Sus scrofa: one gene and its partner. The protein of the gene in region 1 purifies or fractionates together with the protein of each later gene. This does not show direct contact. Links are inferred from orthologs where the notes say so. Each region holds a gene or a part of one and is shown on either strand. Other genes may lie near its edges. The genes, in order: RETREG3 and REEP4.

Region 1 (3,807 bases):
AAAAAAATTATTATAATATGGATTCATGTTTATGAAAACAGTACAGATAAGTCCAGGGACCAAAATTTAAGTTCCTTTGCCAATCCCTGCGTGCATATACAGATACACACAGGCTCTTTAAGAAATAAAAAAATAAGGATTATACTCTTAGCATCGTTCTGTGAATATGTCAAGTCATTAGGTCATGTGTTGAGAAGAGGTCATTTATAAGCAGCCCTTCGTCATCCTTACCCTTGTTTGATGAGTTGCTATGATGATAGCTAATAACATTTCTACATTGTAAAACCGAATAGGACTTTGTGTTAGACATGTATTAGGTGCCTTGTATTTTCTTGACTTTTTAGCAAGATCATCTATGATATTTTTTGTAAGTGATTATGTTGTTTCTAATAACCTGCAAATAATAGTGCAAGATTTGTTATTGTTAATATCAAATATAGATGAGGAAACTGAGGTTAAGGTAATTTATTCAGGGTCACACAATGAAGAGTGGCTGTTCAGAGATACAAACTCAAGTCAACCTAACTTTTTTTTTTTTTTTTTTTTTTTGTCTTTTTGCCATTTCTTGGGCTGCTGCCGTGGCATATGGAGGTTCCCAGGCTAGGGGTCTAATCAGAGCTGTAACCGCCAGCCTGTGCCACAGCCACAGCAATGCCAGATCCGAGCCGCGTCTGCAGCCTACACCACAGCTCATGGCAATGCCAGATCCTTAACCCACTGAGCAAGGCCAGGGTTCGAACCTGCAACCTCATGGTTCCTAGTCGGATTTGTTAACTACTGAGCCCCGACGAGAACTCCAAGTCAACCTAACTTTAAAAGTCATGCCGGAGTTCCCATGGTGGCACGGTGGAAATGAATCTAACTAGCATCTGTGAGGTTGTAGGTTCGATCCCTGGCCTTGCTCAGTGGGTTAACGATCCGGCGTTGCCATGAGCTGTGGTGTAGGTTGCAGACGCGGCTCAGATCCCATGTTGCTGTGGCTCTGGCGTAACCTGGGAACCTCCATATGCTGTGGGTGCAGCCCTGAAAAGACAAAAAAAAAAAGCATACAAAATACAAGCCCACATATATTCTTAGAGTCAATTGCTTGATCAAATTGCCATAAAAATTTCTAAATGCTTATTTTCTTTTCTCCTTTTTTTATTTTTTTGTCTTTTTAGGGCTGCACCCATGGCATGTGGAAGTTCACAGGCTAGGTATCGAATCAGAGCTGCAGCTGTAGGCCTGCACCACAGCAATGTGGGATCCGAGCAGTGTCTTCAACCTACACCACAGCTCATGGCAATGCTGGATCCTTGACCCACTGAGCGAGGCCAGCGATCAAACCCATATAAATGCTTACTTTCAATTTCTATACTTACTTCCCCACAGCCTGGTAAAATCACTGGTCTGCAGACCCTGTATAGGGCAATGCCCTAGAGGCTATTTTTTTCTTTTTAGGGCCACACCTGTGGCATATGGAAGTTCCCAGGCTAGGGGCTGAATCAGAGCTACAGATGCTGGCCTATGCCACAGCCACAGCAACACCAGATTCCAGCCGCCACTGCGACCTATACCACAGCTCACGGCAACACAGGATCCTTAACGCGTTGAGCAAGGCGAGGGATCCAACCTGCATCCTCATGGATACTAGTCGGCTTCTTACCCTGCTGAGCCACAATGGGAACTCCGATAGGGACTCTTTCAAAACATAACTGCTGTAACATCATCATACCCCCAAATTAATAATACTGTCCGAATATCTTCAGATGTACTGTCTTTCATATTTCCCAGGTTTTTTTTGTAAATATATCTTTTTTCTTTTTTTTTATTACTCAGTGAATTTATCACACCTGTAGTTGTACAATGAGTAAATATCTCTTTATGGTTGATTCCTTCAAATAAGAACTAGCTTTTCCTTGATTCTGTTAATGTAATACATTACAATTACTGATTTTGTATGTTGAACTACTTTTGATGCCCGGAATAAATCCCAGGAATAGGTCCTGGTGTATAATCCTTTTAATATGTTGCTGAATTTATCTGCTTTTTTTGGCCACACCTGTGGCATATGGAAGTTCCTAGGCCAGGGATCAGACCCACATCACAGCAGTGACAACTCTAGATCCTTAACCCACTAGGCCACCAAGAACTCCTGAATTCTTTTTGATGATATTTAATTGAGGATTTTTGCATCTATATGCATAATGCTTATTGGCCTATAGTTTTAAGTGTTTTTGTCTGGCTTTGGTATCAGAGTAATGCCTTCATTAAATGAACCAAGATGCATCTGTCTTCAATTTTTTGGAAGCGTTTATGAAGGGTTGGTGTTAATTCTGAAGAACTGGCTTTTAGATGTAGCCTCAGTGCTCACTTTCTATGTGACCTTGACAAGTCATTTTGCTCTTTTGAGCCTTGGTTCCTTCATCTGTAAAAGGGTATCTAATTGAATTAGATGCTCTTTAATGCATCTCTGTCAAGTTTGTTGCCCTACACCAGGGTCTGTTTGGTAGAAACATGTTTGCTTTCATCATATCAACTTGTGTTCAAGAATGAACTTCTTGAAATTAATAGAATCAAAGACTTGAAAGTTGAAAGGCATTATTTGCTTTAGTCCTCTGCCTTTGTAGAAGCAAATTACTATCTCTACACCATAAGTAAAATAGCTGAAGTCCAGAAAGTTTGATTTTCCCAAGGTATGTAGCTAGCACTTAAGTCTGTTCACCACAGAACCATTAGTGCATGTGTGGTCTTTTCTGAAATTAGCTTAATTGGATAATGATCTGTTTTGCTTTCTCTTTAGGTTCTTTGCATTGACATCCCTTCGTCTTGTGTTTTTACTTGCATTCAGCTCCATGATCATTGTGTGTATAGATCAGTGGAAGAACAAAATCTGGCCTGAAATAAAAGGTGAGTTTGGGAGCTTTTAGAGCAATCTGAACTGAAAATGGCCTTTCTATAATTTTTACCTTTAGTTTTAGGGGTTTGTGGGAGAGCACACGAAAGTGGGAGTATCTTTTGAAGTCTGAATTATTTGCTTTAGCAGACACTTGATGGGCTAGTGCCCCATCTGTAGTTCCTTAGAGCTGAATTCCGCCGTTCCCATTGTTATTAAGCTCAGGAAATCTATGTCTACCACTTGAGATATTCCTGTGCTCATAATTGGCCTGCAGAATAAGTAGTCCTCAAGTTGTTAAAAAATAATTCTCCTCCCTGGATACTACATCATTACCAAGGTGGCATCAGTTTGCCTCTTAGGAATTTCTTTAAAGTTATTTATTTGCTGGAGTTCCTGTTGTGGCCTAGTGGGTTAAAAACCCGACATAGTGTCCATAAGGGTATGGGTTCGATCCCCGGCCTCACTCAGTGGGTTAAGCATCCAGCGTTGCTGCAAGCTGTAACATGTGTTGCAGATGCAGCTGGAATCCGGTTTGCTGTGGCTGTGACCTACAGCTCCTAGCCTGGGAACTTCCATATGTCGCAGGTGCGGCCATTAAAAGAAAAATATATAAAATAAAGTTGTCTATTTGCAAAGCACTAAGTTAGGCATTATGACTTATATAAAGTATTCTTAAGATATGTTCCTTTTCTCAAAGATGAAACATACATAAACATAAGAAAAATGATAGGAGTTCCCATTGTGGCTCAGTGGTAACGAACCCGACTAGTATCCATAAAGATGCGGGTTTGATCCCTGGCCTCGCTCAGGATCTGGTGTTGCCATGAGCTGTGGTGTAAGTCACAGACGCAACTCAGATCCTTCACTGCTGTGGCTGTGGTGTAGGCTGGCAGCTCTAGTTCCCATTTGACCCCTAGCCTGGGAACTTC
Region 2 (4,417 bases), on another chromosome or scaffold:
AGGATCTGGCATTGCTATGAGCTGTGGTGTAGATGGAGAGAGTCGTGGCTCGGATCTGACGTTGCTGTGGCTGTGGTGTAGGCCAGTGGCTAGAGCTCTGATTCAACCCCTAGCCTGGGAACCTCCTAAAAAAGACGAAAAAAGGAGGGGAGGAATCTTTGTAAAGATCAAGTCTCTGCCCTCAAAAATGCACTACACCAGTGGTCGTTGATACTATTCCGTTCCCAGGGATATTTGTGCCCTTAACTCACAGAAACTGATGGAATTTCAAACTTCCGGAGAAGAAGACATGGGGGGCACTGGGCACTGGGGTCTCCACCCAGAATCTCTCCATTCCGCCAGCCCAGGGATGTGGGCCCTGGAAAGGTAACCCAGGGTGCAGTTCACCCCGGAAGCCCACTCTTCAGGGTGAGTGGGACGGGATGCTGAGTCTCTCGGGTTCCCTCTCCACCTGCTCCCGGTTTTCCCTCTCTGGCACCTCAGCATCTTTGAGGCACTTACCCACCTCCTGACCTAGCGCTCTAAAACCAGATTTGCTGGCTCTCTGCCAAACCTCCCTCCCACTTGTGCCTGAGCCTCTAAAGGGGGACCTCCACACATCTCAGGCCCATTTTACAGAGGGGAAAAACGAGGCAAAAGTAGGGGGCTAGTGAAGAGCCACGAAAACTCTGGACTCCAAGTTTCCTTCATTTCTTTCTGTTTCACCTTTTCGTTGCCGCTTCCCACCCCCAAATCTTTCCCAGTCCGAGGGCTGCTCAACCTCCAGCCCCATCTGCGAGTCCGAGGCGCATCGCCACTTTAAGGGCCAGGCACCTCGCCTCCCGACCTCGTCCCGCCCCCTCCGGGGCCGCACTGCGCCTGCGCCCAGCGCTGGAGACCTGGGGTTGGGCAGAGCCCAGTTCCGTGCAACTTTCAAGTGAGTTGCAAACCCCGCCCCGAGGCCGGTGCCGGTGTCCTGACCGCGGGGACCTGCACGAGCCCAGGCTGCGACCAGCCGCCCCCGGCCCGGAAGCCGCAGCGCCCCAGCAAGGGCCGAACGCCTGGTTCCCCGCGGCAGGAAGTGCAGGTCGGAGCGGTAACTGCGGGAACGGCGAGGCCGGGCGGAAGAGCACGTCGGCCGGTACTGGTTCCCAAGTCGGTTCCTGCCTGTCCCGGCCCTCTGGTCTCCCAATTCTTCAGGCTTCCCGCACTGCGGAGTTAGTGGGCAGCAGGGCTCTGCCTCCGTCCAGGGGCAGCCCGAGTGCCCCTGTGGTTCGCACACCTTCACTCTTAATCTCATTCCAGCGCTGGCGTGAGCGTCCGTCTGGGGGTCTTCCCGGAGAGATCTCCCTTCGTTCTTGATTGAAGCTGCAGGATGGTGTCCTGGATGATCTGTCGTCTGGTGGTGTGAGTACCGCCCCTCTCATACTCCCTCTGTCCCTGGTGCCAGCCCGCCCGCCCCTTGGGTGAAAGCTGGCAATGTCTGGCGGGAAAGGGGGCTTGCTGAGCTCCCTCACACCTCTCCCCTCCCCTCAGCACTCACCGAAAGGGTTAACGGATCTGCGGGGCTGCTTGTCCCCCAACCCTCAAGCCTACTTGGCTGATGGCGACCCTTTGCATTCACACACTCGCTGCAGCCAGGTGCATGGGACAGAGGACCACAGGCCAGCCAGGGGCCCCCTGGCAAACACAAGATGTTGTGGCACCTTTGCGGGTGGAGAATCCAGGTGCTTGCTTCCCATCTGAGCAGTCAGTCACGTGACTCACCACGCTGGCCTCAGCCTGCCCACTCTGTCCTACTCATCACCTTTCAGTACTCTAGCACCTGGCTCAGCTATCCCTGTCTGCAGCCTGCCAGTGCCAGGTCTGGTGGCCCTGGGCTTGATTGCACATCCATGGGAGGGAACAGCCTGCCACCCTCACTGCTCAGAAGCCTGCCTCCCACCCATCCTGTGGAGTAGCTGTGTGCACTCTCACTGCATCACGCACCCATGGATGGGCCGTTCCTGCAGGCCTGGGCAGGCTTGGGATGTTTGTAAACAGCGGGTGGGGAGGCGGCCTCCAGGGCACTGACTCAGGTGCAGGTTGTGCAAGCCAAGCGGGAAGAACAAGGCAGGCTCTGCAGTCTTGAACCCAGGGGGGAGTGGCCACCTGGCAGCAGGGTGGGGAGTGCTGCCCCTCACATGCCTTTTCTGCTTTGGGGGCTGCTCTTCAGGCTGGTGTTTGGGATGCTGTACCCAGCGTATGCTTCCTACAAGGCTGTGAAGACTAAGAACATTCGTGAATATGTGAGTGTGGGAGTGGGCAAGAGGGCTTGGCTCAGGTGCGGGGACAGCAGCCGTAGGGGGTGTGGTGGGATTTGGTGAAGTGGGAGGGGTCTGAGCTGGTCTCCAGCTCAGAGGCCTATAATCTGGTGGCATATCCTGGAACAGAGTGGGTGTAGATGGAGGGTGGGCTATTGGGGTTCCTTGCAGAATCTTGTGGGTGAAGCCTGTTGGGGGTGGGTACAGGAATGAGTGGCAGTTTCTCAGAGGTAACTCTCTAAGGGCAGCCAGGTGCCAGGGGAATGCCGTGGGACAGGCTTTCTGGAATCTCCGGGCCGGGTCAGCCTGGGACAGGGGAGTTGGCACTGCAGGCTCAGCTGCCGGCTTCTGACCTCTCTGCCATCTCCCCCACCCTGCCCCCAGGTCCGGTGGATGATGTACTGGATCGTCTTTGCGCTCTTCATGGCGGTGGAGACCTTCACAGACATCTTTGTTTCCTGGTATGGAGGCAGGGGTTAGGTGGGCTGTGGGGAGGAGCCGCCTTCCCTGGCCTGGCTCCCCGGCTGGCCTCACCCCCTTTGCTCTGACAGGTTCCCTTTCTACTACGAGATCAAGATGGCCTTCGTGCTGTGGCTGCTTTCCCCCTACACCAAGGGGGCCAGCCTGCTTTACCGCAAGTTCGTCCACCCATCCTTGTCTCGCCATGAGAAGGTACCCTGGAGGGAGGCAGGATGGGCAGCATGGGGGCGGGTGTGAAGGAAAGAGCCCTGGCCTCAGGGTTCAAGACATTACTGGGCTGTAGTCCCAGTCCTGCTGCTGTTTAGCTGTGGGACCTTGACATGGTCCCATGTCTAGGACTTTTAGCCTTTTTCCTCTTCTGGGATTAGCAGACGGGGGCACACGTGAATGACCTTTTGAGGGTGTGAAACACCAGCTGGGGGTGGTTTGGGGATGGTGGATTTGGTGGCGGGGGGGGGGACCTGGGGCAGGGCCGTGCACTGAGGTGCATGAGCCAGTAGGTGGGTAGGGAGTCCTGTGCTCTGCAAGTTGCAGGGCTGGGAGGCATGCTGCCTGCTGGCTTCTCAGGGTCTCAGGCTGTCAGCCTGACGTCCCTTCCCCCATGGCCATAGGAGATCGACACCTACATCGTGCAGGCCAAGGAGCGCAGCTACGAGACAGTGCTCAGCTTTGGGAAGCGAGGCCTCAACATTGCCGCTTCAGCCGCCGTACAGGCTGCCACCAAGGTGCCCTGGGCCCCAGCCCTCCAGCAGCCCCTCTCCCACCCCCAGCACCTTTTGGGTGATCCAGCCCTCTGTCGGGGAGCCAAGAGATAGCAGCTGTCTGTGCCCAGGGAACAGGGGCAAGAGGTGACAGGTGGGGTGTTGGCAGGAGCACGGAGCTGGACGTTCACACTCCTGGCTCTGACGCTGACCATGAGCTCCTGCTCTCTGGGCCCTAGCTTTGCACAAAGGCACGGGGCTAGAAGCTTGCTGAGGTGCTTTCAGTTCTGAGGCCTGTGCCCTGGGAATGACTTGCAGGTCAGCCTTGATTTCCCTGGGCTGCTGCCCAGGCCGAGGCCCCTTCCTTCCTGGAGCCCTGCCCACTCCTTCCAGGGGTTAGAGCAGTGCCCCCTCCCTTGCAGAGTCAGGGTGCGCTGGCCGGAAGGCTGCGGAGCTTCTCCATGCAGGACCTGCGCTCCATCCCCGACGACTCCACCCCCGTCTACCAGGATCCCCTCTACCTGGAGGACCAGGTACCCCGCCGCAGGCCACCCATTGGTGAGTAGGCACGGGAACCCAGAGCTGTCCCAAGAGGGTGGCTTCCTCCAGGCCTGCTGTGGCTTCTCCCCAGCACTAGAGGGGGGCCTGGCCCGGCCCTAGGTCTTCAGACTGTGTCATTGCCCAGCTTTGCCTCTCAGCCTCCTTCTCCTCCACATAGGGTACCGGGCAGGGGGCCTACAGGACAGTGACACCGAGGAGGAGTGTTGGTCAGATACAGAAGCAGTCCCCCAGCCGCCAGCCCGGCCCCGAGAGAAGCCTCTGGGCCGCAGTCAGAGCCTGCGTTTGGCCAAGAGAAAGCCGCTCACGCGGGAGGTTAGTGGTGAGGCGGGCACGTGGGAGGTGGCGAGGCTGCCCTGGCTGCCCGCTTCAGCTGGACCTTTAACCTCTCACGGG

The links.
Region 2: the proteins of RETREG3 (region 1) and REEP4 purify together in Homo sapiens (affinity purification with mass spectrometry; 3 studies listed by BioGRID and IntAct, with this or other methods). This does not show direct contact. The link is inferred for Sus scrofa from reciprocal best matches to the Homo sapiens genes RETREG3 and REEP4.

What each region holds. Positions count from the first base shown.
Region 1 is NC_010454.4:20,230,732-20,234,538, forward strand, and holds part of RETREG3 (protein FAM134C), read left to right. Parts: intron 1-2,782; coding exon 2,783-2,889; intron 2,890-3,807. UniProt on the Homo sapiens protein: Endoplasmic reticulum (ER)-anchored autophagy regulator which exists in an inactive state under basal conditions but is activated following cellular stress.
Region 2 is NC_010456.5:6,412,025-6,416,441, reverse strand, and holds the start of REEP4 (receptor expression-enhancing protein 4), read left to right. Parts: upstream 1-1,399; 5' UTR 1,400-1,582; coding exon 1,583-1,620; intron 1,621-2,194; coding exon 2,195-2,267; intron 2,268-2,666; coding exon 2,667-2,743; intron 2,744-2,833; coding exon 2,834-2,954; intron 2,955-3,373; coding exon 3,374-3,487; intron 3,488-3,885; coding exon 3,886-4,021; intron 4,022-4,181; coding exon 4,182-4,336; intron 4,337-4,417. UniProt on the Homo sapiens protein: Microtubule-binding protein required to ensure proper cell division and nuclear envelope reassembly by sequestering the endoplasmic reticulum away from chromosomes during mitosis.